Rattus norvegicus: one gene and its partners. The protein of the gene in region 1 interacts with the protein of each later gene in a pairwise test. Links are inferred from orthologs where the notes say so. Each region holds a gene or a part of one and is shown on either strand. Other genes may lie near its edges. The genes, in order: Birc2, Exosc5, Ppm1k, Ntaq1, Gcc1, Hsp90b1 and Nmb.

The links.
Region 2: the proteins of Birc2 (region 1) and Exosc5 interact in binary tests that used the Homo sapiens proteins (3 or more experiments, as listed by UniProt). The two-hybrid records come from large-scale screens. The link is inferred for Rattus norvegicus from reciprocal best matches to the Homo sapiens genes BIRC2 and EXOSC5.
Region 3: the proteins of Birc2 (region 1) and Ppm1k interact in binary tests that used the Homo sapiens proteins (3 or more experiments, as listed by UniProt). The two-hybrid records come from large-scale screens. The link is inferred for Rattus norvegicus from reciprocal best matches to the Homo sapiens genes BIRC2 and PPM1K.
Region 4: the proteins of Birc2 (region 1) and Ntaq1 interact in binary tests that used the Homo sapiens proteins (3 or more experiments, as listed by UniProt). The two-hybrid records come from large-scale screens. The link is inferred for Rattus norvegicus from reciprocal best matches to the Homo sapiens genes BIRC2 and NTAQ1.
Region 5: the proteins of Birc2 (region 1) and Gcc1 interact in binary tests that used the Homo sapiens proteins (3 or more experiments, as listed by UniProt). The two-hybrid records come from large-scale screens. The link is inferred for Rattus norvegicus from reciprocal best matches to the Homo sapiens genes BIRC2 and GCC1.
Region 6: the proteins of Birc2 (region 1) and Hsp90b1 come close enough for resonance energy transfer, tested with the Homo sapiens proteins (2 studies listed by BioGRID). The link is inferred for Rattus norvegicus from reciprocal best matches to the Homo sapiens genes BIRC2 and HSP90B1.
Region 7: the proteins of Birc2 (region 1) and Nmb interact in binary tests that used the Homo sapiens proteins (3 or more experiments, as listed by UniProt). The two-hybrid records come from large-scale screens. The link is inferred for Rattus norvegicus from reciprocal best matches to the Homo sapiens genes BIRC2 and NMB.

The regions. Positions count from the first base shown.
Region 1 is NC_086026.1:13,268,741-13,272,849, forward strand, and holds the start of Birc2 (baculoviral IAP repeat-containing protein 2), read right to left. Parts: upstream 2,801-4,109; 5' UTR 2,159-2,800; coding exon 1,248-2,158; intron 1,167-1,247; exon of another isoform or gene 1,116-1,166; intron 1-1,115. UniProt on the Homo sapiens protein: Multi-functional protein which regulates not only caspases and apoptosis, but also modulates inflammatory signaling and immunity, mitogenic kinase signaling, and cell proliferation, as well as cell invasion and metastasis.
Region 2 is NC_086019.1:90,294,477-90,298,832, forward strand, and holds the start of Exosc5 (exosome complex component RRP46), read left to right. Parts: upstream 1-1,432; 5' UTR 1,433-1,515; coding exon 1,516-1,663; intron 1,664-4,356. Other genes in the region: Bckdha (2-oxoisovalerate dehydrogenase subunit alpha, mitochondrial), read right to left, coding at 913-1,020. UniProt on the Homo sapiens protein: Non-catalytic component of the RNA exosome complex which has 3'->5' exoribonuclease activity and participates in a multitude of cellular RNA processing and degradation events.
Region 3 is NC_086022.1:88,940,974-88,945,416, reverse strand, and holds the start of Ppm1k (protein phosphatase Mn(2+)-dependent 1K), read right to left. Parts: upstream 3,069-4,443; 5' UTR 2,858-3,068; intron 2,852-2,857; exon of another isoform or gene 2,579-2,851; intron 2,481-2,578; exon of another isoform or gene 2,342-2,480; intron 2,064-2,341; exon of another isoform or gene 1,900-2,063; intron 1-1,899. UniProt on the Homo sapiens protein: Serine/threonine-protein phosphatase component of macronutrients metabolism.
Region 4 is NC_086025.1:91,587,271-91,591,038, forward strand, and holds part of Ntaq1 (protein N-terminal glutamine amidohydrolase), read left to right. Parts: exon of another isoform or gene 1-822; coding exon 823-971; exon of another isoform or gene 972-1,501; intron 1,502-1,901; coding exon 1,902-2,026; intron 2,027-3,768. UniProt on the Homo sapiens protein: Mediates the side-chain deamidation of N-terminal glutamine residues to glutamate, an important step in N-end rule pathway of protein degradation.
Region 5 is NC_086022.1:57,999,202-58,003,769, reverse strand, and holds the start of Gcc1 (GRIP and coiled-coil domain-containing protein 1), read left to right. Parts: upstream 1-1,584; 5' UTR 1,585-1,981; coding exon 1,982-3,013; intron 3,014-4,006; coding exon 4,007-4,568. UniProt on the Homo sapiens protein: Probably involved in maintaining Golgi structure.
Region 6 is NC_086025.1:22,999,855-23,002,538, reverse strand, and holds part of Hsp90b1 (endoplasmin precursor), read left to right. Parts: intron 1-773; coding exon 774-1,043; intron 1,044-1,260; coding exon 1,261-1,506; intron 1,507-1,897; coding exon 1,898-2,034; intron 2,035-2,684.
Region 7 is NC_086019.1:144,278,359-144,282,926, reverse strand, and holds Nmb (neuromedin-B precursor), read left to right. Parts: upstream 1-1,504; 5' UTR 1,505-1,569; coding exon 1,570-1,726; intron 1,727-2,261; coding exon 2,262-2,434; intron 2,435-3,984; coding exon 3,985-4,008; coding exon of another isoform or gene 4,009-4,043; 3' UTR 4,044-4,249; downstream 4,250-4,568. UniProt on the Homo sapiens protein: Stimulates smooth muscle contraction. Induces sighing by acting directly on the pre-Botzinger complex, a cluster of several thousand neurons in the ventrolateral medulla responsible for inspiration during respiratory activity.

The DNA of each region.
Region 1 (4,109 bases):
AGTCTTGCCACCTGAGTTGGTCTGGGGTTCACAATGTGGCCCAAGTTAATGTTGACTGGACAACTGCTTCAGCCTCCAAACTGCTAGAATTATAGTGTGTGCCACCACATCTAGACAAAATTAACACTTTTAAGTAAATTAAATATATCAGTTTTCAGAACAACAAAAGAAAGGAATCAAAATCTATCTTTTTGTTTTGGTTTTTGAGACGGTTCTAAGTAGTCCAAGTTGGTTTCAAAAGTTGTATCAGACTCCTGAATGTTAACACTACATTGGACCTGACATACAAAAATTTTGATCATAGTTCATGATAATTTTATTTTGGAGACAGGGTCTCACTATACTCTCCTAGCTGACCTGAACTTGCTAAGTAGAATGCATGCCTCTGCTCCCAGTGGCTGAGATTAAAGGCATGTGGACGTGGGTGCATTACCTGGCCCATCATATAACTATTTACTGTTTAACAATGTATTGATCCAATATAAATAATTAAATCAAAATTCCTGTTCATCATGGACCATACAGAAGTGAAAGGTCCCTGTAACTCCCTCAAAGAGTCCAACAATTCCTCATTACCATGGACGGCATGCAGGGGTCCAAGCTCTCTTTACTGTATACTCCCACTTATATACGTTGTGGATGTAGTACCTAGAGTAGGAAGGTTCAGATATAGCAGGCAGAAGGGTCGGTGCCGGGGGTGTGTGCAAGTGTAGAGGATGTTTCATCTGGAGAGGATGAGGGCTCTGGGGGTGACTCTAAAACAGTACTCGTGTCCTTTACACCACAGAAGAATACATTTCAGATGGCTAAATTAGTAAACTTTATGTGTATTTTAACATAACAAAAACACCTAACAGTCCATTCATTTTAAAAATGAGGTCCAACTGCACATAGCTGATCAGTGTCAAATACAAAAATTCCAATTTTATTTCACTAACAACTGTGCTCTTAAATTTATTCTAAGCAATAATAAAAATTAAGAGGTTAGGGATGTAAGCAAGAGAATTTGTCAACCAGATGTGAAGCCCTGGGTTCAATCCTCCATACCACAATAATAAACAAATTTTAAAAGTTTTTAAGAACCAATTACCAAGCCTGGCAGTGGTGGTACAGACCTTTAATCCCAGCACTCAGGAGGCAGAAGCAGGTAGATCTCTCTGAGTTCAAGTCCAGACTGGTCTGCAGAGTGAGTTCCAAAGCTACGCTGAGAAACCCAGTCTTGAAAACAAACAAAAAGAACCAATTACCTTGGAAACCATTTGGCATGTTCTATCCAGGGGTCATCTCCGGGTTCCCAACATCTCAAGCCACCATCACAACAAAAGCATTTGACATCATCATTGTGATCCACATAATAAAATCCAGCACTTGCAAGCTGCTCAGGCTGAACAAGAACACTCGATGGCCAGTACAGAAACGTCCTCATCCGAGCAGAGTGTGTCTGCATACTGAGATTGGATACACTAAACCTCTGCGTTTCTGAAGTATTTTCCAGAAATGGACAGTGGGGAAAATGTCTCCTGTGCTCTGACAGAGGATCATCGTTCGGTTCCCAGTTGCTCAGTTTCCCACCACAGGCAAAACAGGCCACCCTGTCTCCAGGCCCTGTGTAGTAGAAGCCTGCTTTGGCCAGCTCTGCTGGGGACAGAAAACTTAATGGCCACATACTGTAAGAAAGAAACCTGGCCTCTTCTGTACTCATGGCATAGCTGCAGGGATTCATCCTCAACGAGAAGTCTTCCACTGCTCTAGAATTGAGAGGGTTTGAGGGCAGGCTGGAATGAATGCCACCTTGTTCCAGAGGTAGCGAGTGTGCAAATCTACTTTTCGCAGGAGACGTGTTCTTAGCTGCAGACTGCAGACCGCCTGAAAGCAAAGTCTGCACAAAGCTGCAGCTGGGATAGAACTGTCTGTGCTTCTCAGTGGGACTGTCCCCTTGTTTCCAGTTGTCCAGCATCAGGCCACAGCAGAAGCACTTGACCTTGTCATTGACACCTGTGTAGTAAAAGCCAGCACGAGCCAGACTCCTCTCTGAGACAGGAACTCCCCTGGGAAAAGCTGAGTATGTGGACATTCTGTAGAGTTCACATGAAAAGTCATACTTCATTTTTTCTTTGTTTTCTTTTGTCCAATTTGACAAGACTGTGCTATTCTCCATTATACCGTTAGTTTACTGGGGTAAGGCACCCTGGACAAGTCTCTGGGAGAGTTCTGTGCAGGAATAGTAATAGTATTTCTGGCAGCTTAAACTTCCATATGAAGCTCCTCACTACTTCACACAAGATCTCTACCATAGACGGGAATGAGACAGCAGACAGCTAACTGGACACATTCACGGTCTTCTGACTGAACTGATGAGTTCACACTCACAGGACAAATCTGTCTCATATGACAAGACACTGCTCGGGACTCTCTGGGAAATCACATGAACTCTTCTGGGTAACCCGAGAGCTATAGACCCAGAACCTACTTCTCGTTATTAGTTATAGGGCAACTGCTGACTGTATATATGCGGGCTCTTTTCCCTTTAAGGACTTAAATCTGATGTCTGAACTACTTCTTTTCCTAGCAAAGGAAAGGACCTGAAGTCTGCATCCTGTATTTCCTCAGAACTAATGTCATACAGCTCATCATTATCACAGGACTCTCTAAAGTGGGTTACATCAACTGCATAACTTCCAGGGAAGTCAGCACAGCTCTACTAAGACTACAGGATTTGTTATAAATAAACAGTGCTTAAAGCATAAACTATTACTCTCTCATTGTTATATAAATCTCATATATCACCACCTTAATTCTGTGTCTATCATTTTAATACATCTGGTCAACAGACAGTATTTTGTACATAATCTTAGACTGCATTTTATAAAGTCTGCCAGTGTTTAAGGCCCAATTCACTATAAGTCTATTATAATTAAGAATGAGTCAATTGGAGACATGGCTTTCTTCTGTTATCACAAATACAAGAACCCTGTTTCACCACGGCTTTTCTGCTGCACAAATGTACCATACTCGTCTTCTTTTCGAAAACTCAGGATTTTATGTAACTATTCATTGTGTATGTGTACTCCAAGCAAACTGCATCTTCTTATAAAAATGTTCAGATCTTCATGTCTGGGCTTATTTCTATGGGAACATGGGAGAACATAAAGGCTCTTGAGGGCTATAAATCTGAAAGAAAAAAAGATATTTTTGAAAACTAATTGCACAGAATTGTCCTCCTCAATTTATTCAATAATGTCTAAAAACGGCCATTCTAGATAACACATCCAACTACAGCAGTTCCTCTCCCAAGTCTACTTAGAAAGGCTCCAAATCAAGGCACACACTGCGAAAGTACTCCTGAAGTACTAACTATGCCTGTCTTTAAAGTGCACAGCGCTGTATTGTTTAACAAGCAAAACTGAAAACAAATGCACATTTCCATTTGACAAAAATTGGTCCCTGATTTCAAGTTTGTTCATTTTATGTATTTTTTATTTACTATTAGACAAAAATGCACCATACTTAATGAACATTTTTTAAGGGACAGAGTCTTATTCAGCAGCCTAGGCTGGCTAGAAAGTCAATGTAACCCAAACTGGTTTTAAAACTTGGAATTCTCCTGCCTCAGCCTCCCAAGTAATAGGAACAGGCTACCAACAGGCTCCTTTTGATTTCTGATTTAAAGCTATTTTGATCTAGCACTTGACTGGAGACAAAAGGCACCTGTTAATAGTGAAAACATGGGTCTGAAGGACTGTTGCTATATTTGCCTTGCAGGTAAAGGACCCTAGGTTTAATCACAAGAAAAAAATTATATATTTTATATTATATTAAAACTATAAATTAAAATATAAATACAAATAATGTATTATAAAATATATTCATACACATAAATATGTGGATATAATACATAAATACAATATAAAATAAACAATATAATAGATATTTTATATTAAAATATAAGTATTTCCTGAGGATTCCCGAGGCATGCCTGCAATCTTAATCTCAACACTTGGAAGATGGAGGTAGGAAGAATGAGATGCTCCTGCTAGACAGAACAGTTGAACTAGCCAGGACTTAATTGGCCACAATAAAGGCACCGGGAAGAGCTCATTAACGGAATC
Region 2 (4,356 bases), on another chromosome or scaffold:
CACATGAAATAAAAAATAAGGAAAGCATTTTTAAAAATCTTTTCGGGTTTTTTTTTTTTTTTGAGAGAGGGTCTCATGCAGCTCAAACTGGCCTCAAATTCCTTGCCTTCCACCTCCCAAGCGCTGAAATTACAGACACATGTCGCCATATCCAGATAAACAAAAAGCGCGGGGCTAGGAGCCAAATTCTGGACGTGGCAAGTGTGAGGCAAGCATTCTGCACTGTGGTACATCGCCAGATCGCAACAGCATTTGGAAGTGTTATCCTGCCCTTATCAACAATAGATCAAAAGAGATTCCGAGTTTTCTCGAGTGTTTTCAAGAAAAGTGGGCAGCCAAGCACCGTAGCGCACATCTGTAATATCAGGACTTGGGAGACTGGGACAGGACTATCTCCAGTTCGGATACCTATCTAAGCATCTGGGTGAGCTAAAGGCCATCCCAGATGAGTGGGTGAGATCCTGTCTCAAAAAAAAAAATAACGTGGGCAAAGGGTCCTGTTTGAACTTCTCGCTCTGTCTCCCTTCATGATCATCTTCTGTAAATGACAGTCATGGAAAAGTCCCTCGCCTTGAATTTTGGTCAGGGGACATAGGAAACAAACGAGTTTCTTGCTCGACTCCCTTTACAATTGGAATTTAAGTAATGTAGAACCCTATGAAAACCTGATCTGTCCTTTCAACCCCCGTCTCATCCCTTACTCGTCTCCTTCCATCGAAGCCCGCAAGTAGCTGCCTTGCTTTTGCTCTAAAGGGAGCCTTCCCTTGAATTTCTCTTCAAAAAGTTTCCCGGTCCTTTTCTTTCTGAATCTGCTCTTCCTTCACAGCCCGCGGTGCCCCACGCACACTGTAACAATAACAGTTACGTCTCTATTTCTCCCCAAGAAAGACACTGTGGGGGCCAGGTACTCACGAATCTAGCCAAGCCCCGAGCCCCAGGTCGCCCCAACAGCAAGAGGGCAGCCTGGCGCAGGCCACGGCTCGGCCTCCAGATCTTGGCCGCGGACATCGCTACCGCCATCTTGGCTAGTAACCACTCCTCCTTTCTCAGGAGATAGACATGCGTCTGTCCCATCAGATGCCTTATTCAAATCTCAGCACCACTAGGCCAACGCACTATTTTCTTCCAACCGCCTAGCAACAAAGACGTAGAAATAAGTAAGTTGACCATTTTTATTCTTTAAAATTGCTCCAGTCGTCTGCTTGGAGTTGTTCCAATATCAGGCAATAAAAAGGACAACCTCACTTGAACCTCCAGGGTTCAGGGCCCGGGGCCTTGGGCAAAATGGGCCTAGTCCAAGTCCTGCCCCTTATTCCCTATTCTCCAATGGCTTTGCCAGAATTGGGAGGTGGAGGTGGGCAGGACCAGATTGTTAGTAAACGCCGAGCCACGTGCTAGGGCCACTTCGGGAGTGCCCTAGATTGGCGCTTGCGCGGTAGGTACACGGCCGGTAGAACTGCGCGTGCGGCTGAGCGGAAGCTACGGTAGGAGCCCCAGCGCGCGTGGTCAGCGGCTATGGAGGGAGCAAAGCGTGCAGACGCCAAGGTACTCACTGACACCGGAACAGAGTCCAGCCCTCGAAGTCCAGTCTGCAGCCTCCGGCACTTTGCTTGTGAGCAAAACCTGCTGTCCCGGCCGGATGGATCTGCTTCTTTTCTGCAAGGTACGACTTTAACAAGGTTTAACTCAGCGCGCGCCATCCTCACCGAAGAAGGGTTTTTGAAGAGCGGTTACTGTGTAGTGTGCAACCAAGTACGCCCACCTCCTTGGAGAATTTATTTCTAGATATTGCGTATACCCACCTCCCGACTCGAGAAGAAATGATTTGGCCAGGCTGGTCAATACCTCTTGGAAGAAATCCAGGGCAAGACCCCTCTCCTAAGAGTGAATATTCCAGAATAGGTGTTTCACCAAGGCAAATATTATCCTTGACTAGATTTCTTAAAAAACACTTCTGGATCCATACATCATCGGTTGAGGCTAAGGTGTTTATTTGCATAAATACCCTTTGAGACAGACACATCACCACTACTGGTTTAAATATAATTACTGTGGCAGGTGATATACCTAAGTAAATGCTCTGAAAATTGAACGTGATCCTCCCATCCTGGGCTAACAAGTAGCTCCCCTTCTCTGGTCCCATCATTTGAGAAAACATGCCTTTCCTTGGTATACACGTCTCATCAGGGTAAATGAATAGAAAGAAAAGAGAGATCTCGAGGCTGAGGCCCACATAACCCTGTATCCCAGTCCAGCCAACCAACTTTGAGAGGTCATGGGAGGGTAAAAAACTACCAGAGTAGACAAATGAAGAGGACAAAGATGGAGTTGACAATGGGGAGTTGTGTTTGAGATATTAAGAGCTGATCACTTTATGGCTAGTAAGTTAGTGTGGGGTAGTGGTGGGTCAGAGAGAGCAAGAAAGGACAGTTAAGACAACTGTTCAGGCATTTTCCTGGGAAGGGATCTGGTAGATGGGACAAGAGTTGAAGACTGACAGGAGCTTAAGAAAAGAAATAACACCTTTAGTCACAACACTTGGGAAACAGAGGCAGGGTCTCTATGAGTTCGAGGCCAGCCTGGTTTGTGGAGAGGAGTTCCAGGAAACCCTGTCTTGGGGAGAAAAAAAAAGGGAGACAACCGGGAACTGGAGAGATGGTTTGGTGGTTAAGAACACTTGTGGCTCTTGAAGAGGACAAAGTTCAGTTCCCAACATCTATTCAGGAGGCTGTCAAGCACTTGTAACTCAGGAGCTAGGGGATTAGAAGCCTCTGCATGCAGGGACACACACACACACACACACACACACACACACACACACACACACACAGAGAAAGAGAGGGGGGGCTTGCACAAGCATGCATGCACATAATTAAAAATAAAATAAATCCTAGGGACTGAAAAGGGGAGAATTTCTGTAGCCCCGTTGTAGAGATGGTGGGAAAGAAGAGACTATTTTGCTTGCCGAGAGCACAGTTTATACAGCAGAACAGGAACAGCTACTGTGTAGCTCTAGTAAGCACCTGAGTCTAGTTGGGTCACTTCTGGTTTCAGGGCAGATGTTGGCGCTAAGACCCTGTCCCATTGGGTTTCCTTGGAAAAGCACCCGCAGATGTAATAGTGTTCTCATCCCAGGCTGGCTCCTGGTTTTGCTCACTTGCTAAACTCAGCGTCTCCTGTCTCTCGAGATATAAGAAATAGAATGGGAACCCTTCCATGTTCTAAAACTCTAAACCACGGGGCCCTGGTGCAAATTGGAGACCTTGCAGACTTTCAAAAAGAATGTTGCAGATGGGGCTGGAGAGATGGCTCAGTGGTTAAGAGCACTGACTGCTCTTCCAGAGGTCCTGAGTTCAATTCCCAGCAACCACATGGTGGCTCACAACCATCTGTAATGGGATTTGATGTCCTCTTCTGGTGTGTCTGAAGACAGCGACAGTGTACTTATATATAATAAATAAATAAATCTTTTTAAAAAAATGTTGCAGACACATCTGACCTCAAAGGCTCCTGCAAGAACACCCTATGGGAGGGGGCGTGGCATCAGTGAGCAGTGCAAATGATGGGTATATGTGATAAATGACACACTAACCCTATTACTTCATAGCTGACCTCATTAGGCTCCTCTTGCTCTAATAAGGACCATGACCAGAAGCAACCTGTGGAGGAAAAGGTTTGTTTGGCCTACATACCCCAAGTCCATTGAAGCAGGAACTGAACCATGGAGGAGCCCTTGCCTTTCATGGCTTGCTCAGCCTGTTTTCATTTATAACCCAGGACCACCTGCCCAACAGCAGCGCCGCCCACAGCGAGTGGGACCCTTCCATATCAGTTGTTAATCAGTGAAATGCCTTGGGTCCGGGAGTGTGTGAATTCCCCTGCAGACTTGCCTACAGACCCTTCTGATGGAGGCAGTCCCTCAGTTGCCTCAGTTGAGTTTCCTCTTTCCAGGTATGGCTAACTCGTGCTGAGTTTACCAAATGCAAAGCAAAGGAAGTAACTAGCCAGCACAGTGTCTTACCTTACAAGCAAAATTGATAAAAAGAAAAAAACCCAACAAAAACAAAACCGATGGTACTGAACCCCTAATCCTAGCAGCAGGGAGATAAATAAAGGCAGGAGGAGCAGCTCGTGCCAGGGTCACTCAGCTGCACAGCATGGGCGAGGCCAGCCTTGACCACACAGAACCTGACTGCAGAAAGTCCAATGGAGGGCTGGAGAGATGGCCCAGTGGTTAAGAGCACTGACTGCTCCTCCAGAGGTCCTCAGTTCAAATCCCAGCAACCAACCACCTGTAATGGGATCCGATGCCCTCTTCTGGTGTGTCTGGAGACAGCCACAGTGTACTCATATAAA
Region 3 (4,443 bases), on another chromosome or scaffold:
ATGCCAAGGAAGAAAATAAAGACAAATGGTTTGCCTGGAATCCTAGATATACAACACAACCAATCCAAAATGTATTGGTAATTGTATATAAAAGGGGGAAAAGTACTCTTGCCTGAAGTATTTCAAATTCTTTCTTATTTCTCAACCAAAACAAAAATGCATCACAACTTAACCACATCAGTCTTTAAATTTATGTTCATGTCCAAAATTTAACATGCACTCCAGGGGCTGGAGAGATGGCTCAGAGGTTAAAAGCACTGACTGCTCTTCCAGTTAACCTGAGTTCAATTCCCAGCAACCACAAGGTGGCTCACAACCATCTGTGATGGGATCCGATTCCATCCTCTAGTGTGTCTGAAGACAGCGACCTTGTACTCACCTAAAATAAATATTTTTTAAAAAATGCATTTTAGCTTACATTCTCTATTATAAATATATGAAAATATGCCTTTCCCACCATTTCCACATGATTTATGTGACTAAGCCTTTCTCCCCCATCTTCCTCCTCAACCTGCTACTTGAAAATTGACAGGAAAGAAATGAAGAACTAAATAAAATTGCAATGTTAGAACAACATCAATGCCATATAAGTAACTCCATCTAGCAGGAATCTCAGCTCAAAAAGTTAAAGAAGCTGTGAGAGCGTCATAATCACAGATTGTCTTCAAGAGAGTACTGTGAAACACACATTTCCAGAGCGGCAATCTCAGGCCAAAGACATCCACAAAGGAGCTTTGTGGGGTGGTCCACCCCTAGATTCTCGACACTTGGAGGGGTGAGGCAGGAGGGTCAGGAATGAACGGCCCGTCTGGACTACTTAAGACCCAGTTAACAAGAAAAACCATCAGTAAACAGAGCACCTGCCTCGTAAAGTTTGCAGATCACCATTTCATTTCATAGCACAGGGACCCCCACACACAAACAGATGCAAGACTATCGCACCAACTTTACTTTTCATACTTCCCGGTCTTTATACTTGCTCAGTAGTTTAACTCCAGAGCTGTTCAATTTCATTTTTGGAAAAAGGAGGCATTATCTCCATAGCAGGTTTTGACACCGGGAATTTGAATGCCAAAAACAACTCAAAGAGGAAGTTCATTCTTACCACTTTACGCAAGCACCCAGCAGGATTAACTAACTGGGGGTTCTGACAATCAGCAGAGGGCTTAGATTTTTCCGCCCTCTAGGAAGCTGGTGAGGTAACTATAAAGTGGCACTTTGTTATCTTCCCATAATGGAAACACATGATAATTTTTATATGTATGTATGTATGTATGTATGTATGTATGTATGTATGTATGTATGTATGTATGTATGTGGCAGTGCAGGCCAGCACAGGCAGTCACAGGTTAGAGGACATCTTGTAGGCATACCTTCTCGTGCCCTAAAGTAGGTCTTGGTGCTAGAAATCAGCAGGCGGTCACTTTTACTAGTCAAGCCACATCACCAGCCTGATTTTTTTTAATATTCTCAAACTCCAAATTTCTTTACCACCATCCATCATCACCAGCAAAAACCCAGTGCACCCCAATAAATAACTAAAGCCATCTGAAAACTTCAGAAATGAACTTTAGAAAATCGGCAATCTTAATGTCTTTATGTCCTCTTAGAAGAAAGAAAATGTATTAGTTTACTGGAGAAAAGAAAACAACAAAAAGGTCAACGACTCCCTTAGGTCGTATGTGAAAGTCTGTTTGGATAGGCGAACTGAGAATACAGTATGGAAAAGTATTACTCAACTCTGTGAAGGGGTGTGTGTGATGTAGTCAAGGAAAAAGAGACTCGGATTTCTAGAAAAACAATTATAAACAAGAACCCATTATCCAAAGCTTCCTATTTAATGACACTTGTCATACAGTGGTGAGCTGGTTTCCAATTTCCACAAGCTCCAACACACACCAGCAAGACGACACCCTCCCTTCCGCGAAGCTCTGGAGATCTGGATCTCAGGCCGCCCCCAGGTTTTCTCACCGGGGTACGGGTCCAGCAGAGGCCACATCTGCTCAACCGGGTTGGTGCACACCTGGGGGTAAGGGGCTTCGCAGTTTCTATTCCTGCAGCTCCTACAACGAAAACACCAGTGGAGCTTTTGAGACTCGAAATTTTCTAGCTATTTCTACCCAGAGCCTCAATCTTTGTCTCCTCCGGGTAAATTTTCTCTTATGCAGAAAGCGGCTGCGAAAACCCGCACCTCGAGCCACATGTCCCTAAGATAGTGCTCTCCTACCAAGGCAAAACACAAGCTCTCAGATCCAAACAAACCGCCAGGGCTCCACAACCCTTTTCTAACCAGTCTCTTCACAAGTCCCGAATGGACAGGGTTCTGGGCTGGTTTACTGGCCTTGACCAAAGCTGGACGTGGCAGAACACTCTCCAGCCCGGGCAGCCCAGCAGATCTCCCGGCATCCGGAGTCTTCTGGCCGAGAAATAGGTCCGGAGGAAGCCTGTTATAGCCCGCTGGAGCGCACCAAGGGGTCTCGCTGCGAGGAATCAGAGCGGCTTCAGTTATCTTAGCTCGCTTTCTGATTTTTCCATGGGACCCCGCCCATCCCACTATCCCTGCTTCCCTGGCGCTCACTTCCAGCCCGAGGTCAAGTTCAAGGCCGATCGGGGCTGTGTCTGGGGAGCCGGATGCTCGGGCACAGCCGCCGAGGGCCTAGGCGAGAGCAGCTGCTCTCCACCTCGAGAAACGGGGAGCACATCGAGCCCGGAGAGATGCGCGTAGGACTCGGCCTCAGAGTAAGCTGCAGGAACTCATTTCATATTTCTCTTTCTCCTTCCTGAAGACCTCCGGGGACCGCCAATGTCTTGTCAATAACCTAGGAGAATAAACGAATCGAACTCTTCAGGCTCTTACCTTGTAATGGCTTGTGTCTGTAAATTTCTTAATTGGCTAATGGAAGGAAGGGAAGGCTTTCTTGGATGATAAATAAAGCTGAGTTCTCTGTTGATTCTGATCTCCAGACCAAGCAATTAGAGAAGCCACAGCCTCCTCCACTCCTGGAAATTCTTGAAAAAAAATTTCAACCGCAGCTGGCCAAATGGAGACCCGGAGGAGTATGTTTCTGATGATTGACAACAACGCTAGCCAGTTGGTGCTCAGCAGGGCAGGGCTCCTTGCCCGCCCTCAATCTGAGCCAATTACGGATCTAGATAAGAACGAGCCTCCTGCACTGGCGATTTGGCCTCTCAGATTGCCAATTAAGCCCTGTAGACAGACGTCAAATTGGGCCAGTAGCTGTTCGACATGGCGCCCCGCCCTCCCGATGAGCCTTGGCGGCCTCGAATCAGACGCCAGGGACCTTGTTTTTCGCTAGCCACAGGAAGGAGTATCGCTTCTGCCAGAGTTATCTTGGCTGTGACCCGAAAGAGAACAGGACAGCTACGCTTTGCTTGTAGAGCACTTGTACGTCATTCAGTGTTCTTGCTCGTTCTTTAACAAATCACAGAGCAATGTTCTTTGGACTGCCATAACAGGCATCTTGGGATGGCTCGCAACTATCCTGCATACCATAAAAATTCCATCTTTCGAAGGAAGCATTGCCTAGGATCTGGGGGCGTCCCAAATGACTCAAATAATCTAACTGCTTTTAGAACCTTCGGTCTAATAAGGAAGAAGAGGAAGCAAGGCAACAAATAAACAGTAAAAGAAAAATCACATCAAGAGAGGGAATGACTGAGGTGTGGATGGAGAACACTGGGCAGTGAATTTACGTAGGGCGCTGAGTCCCACAGGAACTAGTCAAGGAAAGATGGAGCTGAGCAAAAGGCAACAGCAGATGCCTTTCAGGCTGTATGAGCACACTACTGAAACCTGCCCAGGAGTATTGGCCAACACGAAACTAACTCCATGGTTTTTGTGTGGGGGTGGTTTTTTTTTTTTTTGACACTTTTTAGTCTTAATTTGTTTTTGTTTTGATTTTTGGGTTTTTGTTTGAGACAGTGAGAGTGCATACACAAAGTTAAGTGGGTAAGGAAGTGGGGGGGTATGTGAAAGGAATTGTGGGAAGGGGAAAGAATATGCTCAATATATGAATGGAATAAGTTCTAATTAAAAATATTCTTATAATTCATAATTAAGTCGTGTTGCCTAGTTGCACCTCCTGGCCCAAGAGCATCTGAAGATCCAGTGCATTTAATAATAATACGTTTAGACAGCGATATTCGTGTTGACGCCTCACTAACTCTAATGACTTGTGTTGGGTAGAGAGTCAATTTTCATAAAGCTCTTGAAATTATTACTGGATCTAGCATACAGACAGAAAAGTGCGCATACTGGATGTGGCTCAAGAGATCTTCACAACATGCAGCCTGACTCTGTATCCAGCACCTGACCAAGACAATGTTTCTAAGCCCAGGAGCAGTTCATCCTGCCATCTCACTACTGCTTCCTTGCAGGAGCAGCCTCTGTGCTGACTTTTAACACAGCAGATTAATTCTGCC
Region 4 (3,768 bases), on another chromosome or scaffold:
TTGGCTCTGCATTTGCGCCTGTACTGAGGCACAGACATGTGGTGGGGCAGAGCTGTTTGTCTTATGGCCAAGGAGAGGAAGAAGAGGAAAGGGCTGGGCTCCTAATGTCCTTCAAGGATACACCCCCAGTGACCAGGACACTTCTCACTAGGCTTCACTGTGTTTTTGTTTTTAAGGTCTCAGTATGTAGTTCTGACTGGCCTGGAACTCTGCATGTACCTCAGGCTGGCCTTGGACTCGCAGGGACCCACCTGCCTCTCCCTCTTGAGTGTCAGGATTAAAGTGTGTGTCACCACACCCATTCTGGCTTCACCACTTGAAGCTTCCACTGCCTCTCTATTGCCACCCTGATAAGTAAGCCTTCAATACAAGGTTTTTTTTTTTTTTTTTTTCCCCCTGGGGGTGAGGGTGAATGGGTAGTGAAGATCCGAAGTGTAGAAGATACCTTTGAAGCCTTCTTTTGCATTCATGCATGTGAATAAGTATATGCTTCTTAATGCACATTTTGATCTTTACATGCTCAAACCTTGAAATATAATACAAAATACATCTGCGTCCTACAATCAGTTTTTCTGTCCAACTATAGAACATGGGGTGTTACGGAACAGTGTGTCACACACTGATTGTTTAGCCGTGTCCCAGTCACTGGCCACTTTTCAGAGTTGCGGCTTTGTGTTTCCTCTCATTTAGCTTAGGAGTTACAAGGAGAGGACGTTAGGCCGACGGCTGCTTCCCTGCTAATGTGCTGCTGTGTGCTGACCGTGATGTTGGGATGGACCGTCCTGCACTAACTGGGTTAACCTCAGTGATTATTATTCCTAGGATTATCATGTCGTTCTGCTTCATGTGTCAAGGGAAGGACAGAGCTTCATTTATGACCTTGATACTATTTTGCCATTTCCCTGCCCTTTCGACATTTACATAGAAGATGCCCTTAAGTCTGATGATGACATTCATCCACAGTTTAGGAGGTGAGGAAATTCAGTACCAAGCTACTGATTTTCTGAAGTAAGACTTGGTGATTACACAGAAGTCCCCTCTCTGCCTCCTTCCTCCTTTCCCTCCCTTTCCTTTTCTCAGTCTTTTTCTCTCTTCTCCCCTCCCCCTCTGCGCTTCCTCTCCCTTCTCCTCTGTCTCCACCCTCCTCTTTCTGCATTATTGGTGTGCCTGTTATGCAAGAGCTTAAGAGCATCTTAAAGCTTTAAAGGTTCCTCGTCATTCAAAGGGTTGGCGGCATTATAAATATCAGTGTGCTGAGGACCAGCCAAGCTTGAAGACCCAGGTTCCATCTCTGAGATTCACAGGGTGGAAAGAAAGAATTGATATCTATAGATTACCTTTGACCATAAACACACACACACACACACACACACACACACACACACACACACACACGTGTTAAGAAAAAAGTGTGGGTTGGGGATTTAGCTCAGTGGTAGAGTGCTTGCCTAGCAAGGCCCTGGGTTCGGTCCCCAGCTCTGAAAAAAAAAAAAGAAAGAAAGAAAAAAGTGTGATGAGCTCAACATTTTCTTTCAGATGTGTTGAGGGTTTTTCTCTTGTTGCTGGAGTGTCAGCATGGCCAATGTTGTCAAAATCAAGAAAGTTGCAAGGCAACAGCAAAAGTCCTACCCTTTGCCCCTTCTGTGCAGTGTTACTAGAATGCTGGACCCCTTATGTGTAAATAAGAACAACTGGGTGATTTGCTCTCTGTATTTTCACAGCTTGGGGTTTCAGTCATTCCCTTCCGCTTGTACTAGCCACGCACATGTGCATGCATTCGTATCGGTGTGGAAACTCAGGAGTAGCCTTGTGTATCTCATAGAACAGAGTCCAGTTAGCAATGAGTTGGATTGCCAGCGGTGATAACTCCCTGATAGAAACGTGTGTTGATTTACCCGCAGGAAATTCAGAGTGGTTCGTGCTGACTCCTACTTGAAGAACTTTGCTTCTGACCGGTCTCACATGAAGGACTCGAGTGGGAACTGGAGAGAGCCCCCTCCAGAGTACCCCTGCATTGAAACTGGAGGTGAGCTGTGACTTTGCCTGTTCATTGCTCAGATCTGTGTCTCTCTTAGTCGGCTTGTTTAGTTTTGAGACAGGGTTTCTCTGTGTAGCCTTGGCTGTCTCGGAGCTCGCTCTCTAGACCAGACTGGCTGGCCTCTAACTCACAGAAATCCTCTTTCCTCTGCCTCCTGTGTGCTGGCACTAAGGGCATGAGCCACCTCTGCCTGTCTAGCCATCTTTGGAGAAGCTCCCCAAGTGGTGAGGATAAATGAGGGTACCCGTCCTCTGTACCTCCTGGATTCAGCAGTTAAGGCACAGAGAACAGGACTGGAAGGCAAAAGCCTTCTTGGGGAGAGTCCGAACAGAGGAACAGAAGCCATGGCAGTAGCCAACTGCTTGTTGTTGTAAACGTCTGCTGGGATGTTTACACACCGGTGTGTCCTACTGGGATCAGTAGCACATGGCTGTGCTGGGGTTTTATTCACTGCTAAAAGAAATCCCCGGTGCATCCTCCCAGTGTGTGAGGTGTCATTTTAGTAACCCTGTAATAAACCTATGTTCAGAGAGTTTTATCGTGACACTTCCTTTCTGTGCTTCTCGGCAGTAGTCCAGTTGAGGGCGCCCTGAGAGTTAACAGAGCAGGCTGTTCCCTCTGTTTACTTTTGTTCCGTACTCATATGCTTTCGAGACATTGTCTGTGACTGTAAATTGTTCACACCATTCCAGTTATGGGTGAGATCATCCCATCACATGGCTAATGTGGTCTGCAGGAAAATGGCCTGTAGGCTATGCAGGATTCTTCAGAAACAGGGCAAGGTCATCAGTAGCTCTTTAGGGAAGAAAGCATAAAACAGCTAACGTATTTGAAGGGCATGGACTCTTAATGAGGGTTCTCAAGTCTCAGCAAGAAGATAATGAAAGAAACCACAACAAAAACTGTAATTGCTTCCTCTTGTCTTACCCTAGCTTTCCCATGACAGCCATGAGAGCTGTGTTAGGAAAAGGTGACTGGGTACCCTGGGGCTAACCTGGGCACCTAGTGCCTTGGGGTGGTGGGGGGAGGTGACTGGGTACCCTGGGGCTAGCCTGGGCACCTAGTGCCTTCCGGGGGACCCATTTCCTGTGTAGATGTGGATTCCTGCAGCCTGGTACTCGGTTGATAATTAGCACACGGTCTTATCAGGACTTGGTCCTTTTCTTTGCAACTCAGTGCACAGTAGGTCATAGCACATGTGGCCTTATCAGCCGGTAGCTCTAGGTGCCATGCTAAGCTTTAGCTAGCTTCTGCACATATAAACGTAATCTGTAATGCGAGCTGGGAAGATGGCTAGATTGGTCAAATGCCTGCCGAACAAGCATGAGGACCCGATTTGAATCTACACTCCCCCCATCCCCCTGTCTCCTGGAGCAGAGATTTTTCTCTATAGCCCTGGCTGTCTTGGAACTCACTCCATAGACCAGGTTGACCTTGAACTCACAGACCTGCCTGCCTCTGCCTTCCCAGTGCTGGGGTTAAAGGTGTGTGCCAGTACAGCCCAGCTGAGTTGGGATCTTCAGTGCCCACACAAAAGGCAGGTGTGGTGGCATCTTTAATCCTAGCACAGGAGGGGTGGATCCCTGAAGCTGGCCACATTAGTTAGACCAGTGAAGCCCAGGTTCTATGAGAAACCTTCTCTTAAAACATGGGTGGGGAGCTACCAAGGAGGACACCGATGTCCATCTCTGTTTTCCACCTATGTGAACGAAGCACAACCCCTCGTACAC
Region 5 (4,568 bases), on another chromosome or scaffold:
TAGACTTGCACTCGTAAGACGGCTTTGATAGGGTCCACACGAACATGTAAAAGATCCTCAAAGTAGCATATTGTCTATTGTTTTGAAACACTATGTAGCCTTGGGTGGTCTGGAACTTGCTATGTAGACCAACCTGGTCACGAACTCACAGAGATGCGGCCGGCTTGGCCTCCTGAGCAGATTTTTATTACAGAAATATTTTCTTCAAACGCGTTCTCTCTCTCTCTCTCTCTCTCTCTCTCTCTCTCTCTCTTTCAGAGTGAGCCTCCTCACAGGCTTGGTATCTTCATAATATCACAGGAGTCTTCTTTGTTTTTAGCCCCTCCCCACTTTTATGTTGTGTTCGTGTGTGGAGGTGTGTAGAGCTCAGAGAACAACTTGTAGGGGTGTGTTCTCTCCTTCCACCGTGTGGGTCCTGGTGATAGAACTTAGGTCAGGTCACTGGGCCTGGTGAAAATCGTCTTTACTGCTGAACCATCTTAAAAACCCCACAGGAGTCTTGATGGAATGGACAAAAGCAAAGAGTCTTGATGGTGCCCTCCGGAGATGAAAATCTTTTAATGTCTTGTCACCCAAGATGAAATCTAAATGCCTTTAAGTTGGGTCCTACCCTTTGTTCCAGATTCATCAATAGCCACCCACCTCCCACACCATAAGCTTCCTGGGCAAGTCAGGCTCACTGATAGATACCTCAGAGGTTCCTGTAAACGTTTCCGCTTTTCTTGATGCTGGTTTCCCACATTTGCAGTTTGGCAGTCTTTACTCATTCCTCAAACTTCAAGTCATTTCCCCTAAGAGTCTCTGTCCTTCTGACAGGTGCCTCGCCTCTTTTATACCCTTCAACTATACCCTTACATACTATACTAGTGTGAGGGCAGCATCTACTTGTTTGCATGTCCTTGCTGTTAGGAGTTTCTCGGGACCAAGGCCATGTTTCTTCAATGGTGCCATCAGGCATAGCATTTAGTATGGTGAGAGGCAGACTGAGATAGGATTCCTAAACTTACTAGCTGAGTGACATTGGGCATGTTACCCCTCTGTACATTTACTGTATGTTCCAGTAAATGTAAATTGGTGCTAATGATACCCTCTGAACAGAATTTTGCAAAGACTAAATAGCAAAAACTCTTGTGAGACAGCCCCCACCCCAGCATATGCTGGTATGCAAGATGGACCTTATAGCTATATAATGTCCCTCTTACTAAGCAGAACTAAACAAGGGAGCTATTATGTTAACTAGGTACTGGGCTCGTTTTCCTAGTATGAGTCCTAACTGTTGCCCTAAATGTTGGAAATTGCCCCAAATAGTTTGATGCGTCTTTCATCGTTTTTTTTTTTTTGGGGGGGGGGCAAATGCAGTGTGACGTCGCCCCCTGTCGCTCACTGGTGGTAGTTTGAGGGCAAAGTTAGGCATCTTCTCCAAACAACTGCTCAGGTGATCTTGACTTCGCTTTGGGTAACTATACCTACAGGTTACTCTCTCTCCAGGCCACCAGCGAATACTGGGTGCGGAAGCCCCACCCATCTCATGCCCGCCGGGGGCGGGGTCTGTGGCGTTTTGCTGTCGTCACTTCCAGTGGACCCGGAAGCGTTGTTGTCCCAGTTGTTGGGAAATCGTGATGGAACCGGTCTTAGTGTAAATCCTGGGCTGATCGTGGGCGGAGGGAGGCGGGTCTAGGTTGCGGTGGCCAGGCGAGCAGCTAGGGCGGCACAGGATCAGGGCCTGTACCGGAGAGCCCTGGCTGAGTGTTCCTGCTAGGCCAGCGTCACTCCGCATCCAGGTTGGAACTGTTTCCCACCTTCGGCCTGGCTCTCACAGTGCTTTTGCCTGGCCACCGCGGCCCCTCATCCCGCCCGGACCGCTGGACGACCGGGTGTATTGCCTGCAGCCAGACGATTCTCTCTGCTTTACTTCTAGCTGTTGTGGCTCTGTCCAGGGCTGCAAGAACGCTGACGTGGAGCATCCCACTCCGGAACCCTCATGGAGAAGTTTGGGATGAATTTCGGGGGCGGCCCAAGCAAGAAGGATCTCTTAGAGACCATAGAGACACAGAAAAAGCAGCTTCTCCAGTACCAGGCAAGGCTCAAGGATGTGGTTCGCGCCTATAAAAGCCTGCTGAAGGAGAAAGAAGCCCTGGAGGCCAGCATCAAGGTACTGTCGGTATCCCACGAGGCAGATGCAGGCCTCTCAGGTGTGCAGCCTCCGGGTCTCACGTTTCCTGATTCTGTGGATGACCGGTGCTCCACTCACAGTGAGGATAGCACCGGAACTGCCACGAGCTTGGATACCGCAGCCAGTCTTACAAGTGTCAAGGGTGAATTTGGGGTTGAAGATGACAGAGTGGCCCGTGGACCACTTCCTCCAAAGTCTGAAGAGGCCAGTGGGTCAGAGAGTGGCGTTAGCAGTAGCAGTGGGGATGGGCCATCTGCGGGTAGTGAGATAGACAAAAGAGTGCATCAGCTGAAGACTCAATTGGCCACTTTGACTAGCTCCTTGGCTACAGTCACTCAGGAAAAGTCCCGAATGGAAGCGTCTTACCTGGCGGATAAGAAGAAGATGAAGCAGGACTTAGAAGATGCCAATAAAAAGGCAGAGGAAGAGCGGGGCCGCCTGGAGGGAGACTTGAAGGGGCTGCAAGAGCAGATAGCAGAAACCAAAGCCCGACTTATTACACAGCAGCACGATCGCGCCCAGGAGCAGAGTGACCATGCCTTGATGCTGCGGGAGCTACAGAAGCTTTTGCAGGAGGAGAGGACCCAACGCCAGGACCTGGAACTTCGGCTAGAAGAGACCAGGGAAGCCTTGGCAGGGCGGGCGTATGCAGCTGATCAGCTAGAAGGGTTTGAACTGCAGACCAAGCAGCTGACCCGTGAGGTAGAGGAGCTGAAAGGTGAGCTGCAAGCCATTCGAGAGGAGAAGAACCGACCAGATCCCCGGCTGCAGGAGCTTCAGCAGGAGGCTGCCCGTCTTAAAAGCCATTTCCAGGCCCAGTTGCAGCAAGAAATGAGGAAGGTAATTATTTTTATGTCCTTCAAACAGTTATTTTAACTTCCATAGGAAATATTAGTATCATTTTTCTCTTTTGGTCATTAGATAACTGTCGTATATGTGCACGCTCCTGTGCGTGTGTGTGTGTGTGTGTGTGTGTGTGTGTGTGTTTCATGAGGCAGGGTCTTCTCATGTAACCAAGTCTGCCCTCATAGAGATCTGCCTGCTTTTCCGTACCAAGTGCTAGTATTAAAGGCACCCTCTTCTCTACTTAGAACAGGGTTTTGTTCTAGTCAAGGAATGCCTGATGCTTGTTAGTGGGTGAGTGCTGGGATTGTGGTCGGTTCCACCTTCCTGATATGCACACTGATATTTGATGTCAAGTGAGAAAGTCCACTAGTGAGTCCTAGGAAATCTTGTTTTGTGTGGTGTCCTTTTAACAGGATGAGGAGTTTCTGAGTATTTCTGGGTTCAAGCCAAACAGCTCTATCTAGGCCTCTGGGTGTTGGCATCTTACCAGTGTGGGCTGTTTGAGGCAGTATAGTGACAGCTATTTAGGGAAAGATTGTGTGTGTCCTGAGAAGTGTGTGCTTATAGGTAGGAAGGAAGCAAAGGGGGTTTTCCTGGGAGAAGCGTCTCGTGTATGCGCTCGGTTGAGGTTTGCCTGTTTTAGAACTAAAACTGTTTTTGCAGTGTTCCCTTTCAATGGAGAGAGGGATCCAGGTTGGTTTTCAGTTTCCAGGAATGTTGGGAAAGGGAAAGAATGTTATGCGGCTTCTTTAAATGATTCGGAAGGTGCGGGACTAACAGGAAGGAACACATTTTGTATTCAAGCTTAGTGAAAAGTGGGAAACTGTGGTAGAAACAGCACATATACAAAGGAGTTTCAATTATAAATCCCGCTTGTTCTGGGTCATCCCAAGCCCTGTTCACTTCTGTCTTGCTCCCCCATATCCGGTTGACTGTAGGGTTTTGTGACTTTCCTGGACGCCTTGTCACCTGTTCTTTGCTTTGCAGACAGCCCTTGCAGAGGACCAGCTTCGCCAGCAGTCTCAGGTAGAGGAGCAAAGGGTAGCAGCCCTGGAGAACCAGATCTCTGAGGTGTCTGAACTGCTGGGCACCTATGAGAAAGCCAAGCAGAAAGACCAGCTGGCCATCCAGAAGTTGAAGGATCGAATTTTACAGTTGGACTTGGAGAACAAGACACTGGCCCTTGCAGCCTCCAGCCGGCCCTCTCTTGACATCCATGGAGACGAATCCAGTCTGGATATCAATGTCTTGAAGGACAAGATGGAGAAGCTCAAGAGGCTCCTGCAGGTTGCAGCTAGGAAAAGCCAGGTGACCCTGGATGTAGAGAAGCTCTGTGACCCTGATATAATGGCCAACTCAGAGGCTGCGGATGGGGAAAAGGCTACTGCGCTTTACTACCAACAGGAGCTGAAGCAGCTGAAGGAAGAGTTTGAGCGGTACAAGATGAGAGCCCAAGTGGTGCTCAAAAGCAAGAACACCAAAGATGGGAACCTGGGGAAGGAGCTCGAGGCCGCACAGGAGCAGCTTGCGGAGTTGAAGGACAAGTATA
Region 6 (2,684 bases), on another chromosome or scaffold:
TACAGGCCTCACCTGTAACCTCGGGTACCCAGGAGTAACAACAGGAAACTGGAGATGTAACTCAGTGACATATTTATTTGTTGTGCTTAAGATACTGAGTTTGAACCCCTCGTGTGTAGGCCTGCGCACCATCACACAGAAAGTGGTTCTGGCAGTAGAGCAACTAGATGTTGAAGCAAGTGAAGCAAGGCTGGTCTTTGACTATTCAAAGAAACTCTACCAGACACAACATCAGTGCAGGCCTATAATCTTAACAGCTTGAAGGAAAAAGCAGGAGGATGACATGGTCATGCTAGTTAAGCCAGGGTTTGCGGCTACCCTAACTTAAGACCATCTCAAAAAGGAACTTGTTTGATTCTGAGATTATTGGATCTCAAAGCTGTTACATTCCCCCAACCCTTAGTACAGTTTTGAACAGAGATGAAAGCAGGGAACACACCTACCTACTGTCTGTCCACAGTTGACCACATACTAGGCCTTTCAATAAGCCCTTTTGCCAGTATTGTTGTGATTAGAAAACTAGGGTTTTTGTTTTGTTTTTAAGCATTTGAAAATATTAGTCATTTTGTCTAAATATCTGAGCTGTAGCACTAGAATATTAACATTAGAAACAGTTGTTGTTAGTTCTAACACAGTCTGATGTGGGAGCGCTGTGGTTCTTCCTGTCCCTTGATCAGTAGTGTGGCCATTGTGCTGCCTCAGGTGCTGCTATCCTGGTCTCTTTAGCAAAAGTTTGAGAGAAACCTTCCTAACCAGATTCCATTTTTCTTTAGGTGATTAGGAAGAAGCTTGTCCGCAAAACTCTGGACATGATCAAGAAGATCGCTGATGAGAAATATAATGACACTTTCTGGAAAGAATTTGGCACCAATATCAAGCTTGGTGTGATTGAAGATCACTCAAATCGAACACGGCTTGCTAAACTTCTTAGGTTCCAGTCTTCTCACCATTCAACTGACATTACTAGTTTAGACCAGTATGTGGAAAGAATGAAGGAAAAACAGGACAAAATCTACTTCATGGCTGGGTCAAGCAGAAAAGAGGTAAGATGAAGTGCAGCCGCTAGGTTCCTGGTAGCCAGCTGGGGGCGTGTAGACAGTGTGTGAGGGAAAGAAGTTAGTCGTGTAGCTGGACTAGTTAGACAGCCGCTAGAGGACACTGCCTTATGTCCCTGTCTCACACGGGGTTGTTAACGGTATGGAGACACAGCTAATGTGCCAAGGCAGAACTTGAAAACTCATACTTCCTTTAATCTTGTAGGCTGAATCTTCTCCGTTTGTTGAGAGGCTTCTGAAGAAGGGCTATGAAGTTATTTACCTCACAGAGCCCGTGGATGAATACTGCATTCAGGCTCTTCCTGAGTTTGATGGGAAACGGTTCCAGAATGTTGCCAAAGAAGGAGTGAAGTTTGATGAGAGTGAGAAAAGTAAAGAAAGTCGGGAAGCAACAGAGAAGGAGTTTGAGCCTCTGCTCAACTGGATGAAAGATAAGGCCCTCAAGGACAAGGTATTTGGACCGCAGACTGTAGTGTCTCCACACAGGAATTAACAGCAAGCTAGTCTACACCCAGTTTGTTCATTACCACTAGCAACTGCAGACAGTGGCGTGTGCCTCGGGTACTCGGGAGTGACAACAGGGACCTGGACATAGAGCTCAGTGATACATTCATTTGTTGTGGAAGACCCACCTGCCCCTCAAAAATGCCATCAAATACAGGGCAGTGTGAGTTTGCAACTTACAGCAGTTTCCTGTTGCTGTAATACTGATTTTTACTAAGTTTTTACAGGTTTAGTATAAATTTGTAGCTGAAAAAATTCAGATTCACTGAGTGTCTATGCTCTGGGATGGTGACTGACACTGCTGATCCTTCCTTCTGTCTAATGTTTCTCATTCTAAGATCGAAAAGGCTGTGGTGTCCCAGCGCCTCACAGAGTCTCCCTGTGCCCTTGTGGCCAGCCAGTATGGATGGTCTGGAAACATGGAGAGGATCATGAAGGCACAAGCATACCAGACGGGCAAGGACATCTCTACAAAGTAAGAAACTGGGGGTGCCCCTTCCAGGGTGCCAGATCTTGTTCTTTTGAACTGGAACATGTATCACCCTGATCTTCCTTAGTTTTGCTTTAGAGTAAGAATAATGTCCACATTTACATCATGCCTCACTAGCGGTTTTGTTTTGGGTTGTTTGTTTGGTTGGTTTTGAGACAGGGTTTCTGAGTAGCTCTGGCTTTCCTGGAACTCTGTAGATCAGGCTGGCCTGAACTCAAGGAGACCCACCTACCTCTGCCTTTCTACTGCTGGGGTTAAAGGCATTTCAGACCTGCCTGACTCTCTAAGACTTAAGTTCTTCGTAAAGAACACTGCCGTATATCTTCTATCCAACGTTGTAGTGCCATTTAAAACCCAACTGTAGTGTCAGCAAAGTTACTCACCATTTCAGCACTTACTGCATTACACCTAGTTCCAGACTTGGTGAACATCAGACTGTCAGGATGACTGTCGGAAGTACTCTAAGCCCTAGGTGGATGTGTGGTATATCTGGCCTTGGAAAAAGCTAATGACCATGCATGTATACAGCATGCACTGGAAACTTAATCGGGATCTATTTAAAAATAAGTGAATTTTTAGGGACACTGGTAAAGGCATATTGGAAATTATATATTTACACAGCATCCATAACTATG
Region 7 (4,568 bases), on another chromosome or scaffold:
GCTCAGATTCTTACAACGTACAAGACGAACTGTATGTACACATATGTGTGACCAGTGTCCTACGGTGAGATGAGAGTATGGATGAGAGAATAACCCAGAATCTGCATGGCAGACAGCAGAAGCAAGAGACCTTGCCCCAAACAAAGCAGAACTGACCCCTGAAAGTTGTCCTCTGGCCTCTACATGTGGGTGTACACACACACACACACACACACACACACACACACACACACACGGAATACAACTGAGGGAAATGCCTAATGTGCTAACCCCTGACATCCACAGAATGCAAATCCCCCTCCTGGGACGGTGATCCACAGGACACCTGCTATGTGTAGGAGGAAGGACAGCAGACCAAGGTGAGCAGAGTGGCTCACACTATGGTCTACATAGCGAGTTCCAGGACAACTGAACTACATAGCTCATGTCTCAAAGCAAAAAGATTATGCTAGGAGGCTCAAATGCTGCAGCAAAGGGTCCAAGACCTAACACCACATTCCATCATCCACTCCTTGCCCTTGTTTCCAATGAGAAGGTGAACTCTTGGAAGCCAGGAGTTGGCATCCCCTCCTGTCCCTCCCACAATGCTCAGTTGGCACATACCTGCCCCTGCTCACTCAGTGGTGCCACTGATGGCTGAAGGTATTTTCCAAGACTGGTAAGGACAGCTCTGGAAGACAGTTCTGCTCCTCTGCAAGTACTTGTACTGTCAGGCAGTGGTGCACACCTTTAACCCCAGCACTCAGGAGGCAGAGGCAGGCAGCTCTGAATTCGAGGCCAGCCGCGGCTCCGTAGTGAGTTCCAGGACAGCCAGGGCTACACAAAGAGACCATTCCTCGAAAAGAAATAAACAAGCCACAAATAGTTGTACTAAAAAATGCAAAACTATTAAAGGTATATATAGGTGGTGTGGTTATTTCCGTTTTACAATAGAAGAAAGTGTCATCTGGTCCAGCAGTCTTTCTACTGATCTGACCTACAGGGTAGGTCGGCCTAATACCGAGTATAGTAAGCCAGGCCCTCCAAAGGGCGCCACTCCTCGCTCCCTTCCCCATCATTCTGTCCCCATTCTGGGCACAGAACTTTTCCAGGTTGCCCAGTGTGTGCCATTTGTGAGAGCAGAGCGGTACAAGCAAGGCTCAGATGGCTTGAGACAGGAGGTGACAGGATTCTTTCGTTGGAGTTTCTCTGCCGGATGATGCCAAACACATGCTGCCAAGAGCAGGGCTTCTTGTTCCACTTTAGCTTTAAGGAGAAGCTTTGAGGGCTGATGTAACACGATGGCAGAAAGCTGTGTTGGTGGCCAAGGAGGGTCTTGGGAACCACCTTTGCTGGGGTGGGGGCGATGCCACATGCCAGGTTGCACGTGACTATAGTAGGTTTCTGCTAGAAACCTCAGGGTGGCAAGGCTGTGTGGGCGGAGCCTGCAGGGGGCGGGGCTCTGGGGCGGAGCGAGCTCCGCTCCTCAGGCAGGCTCCGCTCCAGACTGTAGTTTAAAAGGCTGGAAGGCGGGCTTCAAGAACTAGCTAGTATCCTGAGAGTGCCAGAGAAAACCCGTTTGGCACAGCCATGACCCGGCAAGCAGGGAGCACTTGGCTGCTCCGTGGTCTCCTGCTCTTTGCCTTGTTCGTTTCCGGCATCACCCCCTTTTCCTGGGATCTCCCGGAGCCCCGCAGCCGAGCAAGCAAGATTCGAGTGCACCCTCGGGGCAACCTCTGGGCGACTGGTAAGTGTTAGGGGACTCCGACAGGGATGCCTCACTCACCTTGGTACTCAATTGTCTTTTCAACCCTCTGGAGGCTCTTAGTAGCGGAGCTCCTGCAGACCCGTGAGCTCATCAAGTTTGAGAGACGGGAATCTTGGGACCCTAGCACTCACAGACATGGCTAAGATAACCCACTTAGCAAGTTTAAGACAGAGCTGGGCCAGCATCTTAGTTAGATCTGGTTACCAGTCGATCCCCCTTCCCTTAGGCAAACTACCAGGTTTTCTCACCTGGTATCTTCTCTGCATATCCATCTCGAGGCACCTTCTCCATTTCCTTCCCTGGTTGGTAATCTCCCTGGTCCCGAGCTATCTACCCTTCTTCGTCTTGCAACGGGTCAGCTTTCCTCCGCCCAGAGATCTGTGGCTTCTTGCTGAGGAGAATGTTTCTTATCTACCCTCTGTGAGAGCTGAATGGTAGAATAGACCAGAACTTGCTTATGGTAATAGGGCCCTCATCCCTAGCTTCCATGTACCTCGGCACCTCCTTTTTGTAGGTCACTTCATGGGCAAGAAGAGTCTGGAACCCCCGAGCCTGTCACTGGTGGGTACAGCACCCCCTATCACCCAGAGGGAGCAGAGACTACAGCTGAGTCATGATCTGCTCAGGATCCTCCTGCTACAGAAAGCGCTAGGCATGAACCTCAGTGGTCCAGCTCCCCCAATCCAGGTAAGTCCCTTCCCCAGTACCAGCACGGAAGAATTGCCACCCTGTATGGGTTCAGGGTGGGACTGCCTAGCCAGAGCGGAATGTGAATGGATTCCAGAAAGCCAGGGTCCCAGGGCTCAAAGGAGGAATATCCCAAAGACTAAAACATGACGCAGCAGACTACAGGGGAAAGGAGTTCCTCCTTGCCCATCCCCAGTCTGAAGTCACAGACTAGGAGTACTCTAGCCCTTAAATAGAGTGTTCTCCAGGCCACACAGCCTTGTCCACCCCAGCTGTCATCTGGTGTATTAGCCAAGCCCACCTTTGCCATGCCAGTCTGTGCTTGTGTCCCGAGCTGTGATCCCTGAGGCCTAGAGGTGGAAGGAAAGTTACCAGTCGTGACAACTCAGACGCAGCCTGCTCATCAACCTCCCCATCCATTTCCCAATGCCAGTGCTCCTGACAGAAAGGCTCTGCAGGGCTGTCTTGAGCACTAAGGAGGCTTAGCACATCCCCGGTCTCTACCTACCAGATGCCAGTGGCACATTCCTTCCTCACCAAGTTGTGATAACCAAAATTCCCTCCAGACCAAGAGCAATGCACTTGCCTGCAGTCCCAAATGCCTCAGAGGTTGAGGCAGGAGGATGGTTTGAGATAGGGAGTTTGGGGAAAACAAAAGCCAAGGCCTTCAGACATTACTGTTGGTTGTAAAGCATTGACCCGTGGTGCTCAAGGCCGTGGGGTTCTGCCTGGTTGGGTGGCAGCCTCTCCATTCTTGGCTCCTGGTGTTGTCCCCACTGCACACTACTGTCTTGGTATTTGTAGCTCTGTACAGAAGGTAGTGTGATGGGGCAGAATGCATGTGGAGGCCATACCTAGCTAAGTAGCTAAGTGACCTTAGAAATATGTTATTCATCAAATAGAAACAACAGGCCCACCTCCCAGTAGATAAGATCATTAGTGTCACATATGCAGTCCAGTGCCAGTCACACAGAAAGCTCTTGGTAAGCAGGAGCTCCTACCACATGTCTGCAAGCCTCTAGCAGGGCTTTGCTGGTGACACCCTTCCTGTCCCCCACTACACTTAGCACAGTGTGCACATTCTCAAAGAAGAGACATTCCTTAGAAGCAGGTCTACCTCCAGTCCCAGCGAACATCCCTGGAACCTCGGATGCAATAGTGAGAAATTTGGGCTGGCTGAATGGGGGCGGGGGGGAGCATCACCTCTAGGGACCAATCAGAGAATCTCAGAGGGTGCAAAGCTGCCATGGCCAGGGACAGGGAGAATTCAGTGAGATCTGGAGCAGAGCTTGGGGGGTACGGCATGTCACTGACACTTGTCTAATGCCTTGGGCTTGATTTCTGTAGTGCCCTTTGGTTGTCATGACTACCCTGTGAAAGTTAGGGCTAGATTCTGGGAAAACCATTACCCCTGACTCCTCAGGTCTTTCAGGGAGAAGGGTTCTCACTCAGAGGCTCAGCTGAGAGCCTGTCACTACTGCCCCCCTGTGTACACTCAGCATATCCCTCATTCGTGGACTCCAGGATCGAGTTTTCTCTTTTGCCTTCAGTACAGGAGGCTGCTGCAGAAGTGACGCCAATAATGGAACAAACACGGCACTGGGCGTAGCATGCGTCCATCCAGGGAAACTGAGGAATGGAACCCTAGCAGTGGCCTCCTCTGGATGTGAAACCTAAGCTCAAATGTGTTACTCTGTTACTGTGATTTCTGGTTGGGTCACCAGGAATGTTAACGATACAGACACAGTCTTTCCTGCTGTATTTCTTGCTTCCCTGGTGAAGTTGTGAATAAAAATACTGCTCTTTACGAAGACTGTCTGGGCCTCTCCTTCCACCCACATTTGAGGAAAAAGGGAAGGGCTCTCTGGAGGGTGGAATGTTCAGAGAGGTGGTCTTGGGAAAGCCCCATCACCTCTCACCCTGGCACCAGCCAGACAATGAGTGGTTGCCAACTCTCAGCAACCAGGTATTGTGTTGGCTGCACTGACCATTGCCACCCATGAGTTCTGCTACAAAGTCTTCCCCTGCAACGGGAGGCTACCTACACTACGCTACACTGGCCCCATGGAAAACTTTATTGAGGTACCTGGTGCATACCAGAGAGAATCATGCTGGACTCCAGCCCTGCTGTGTT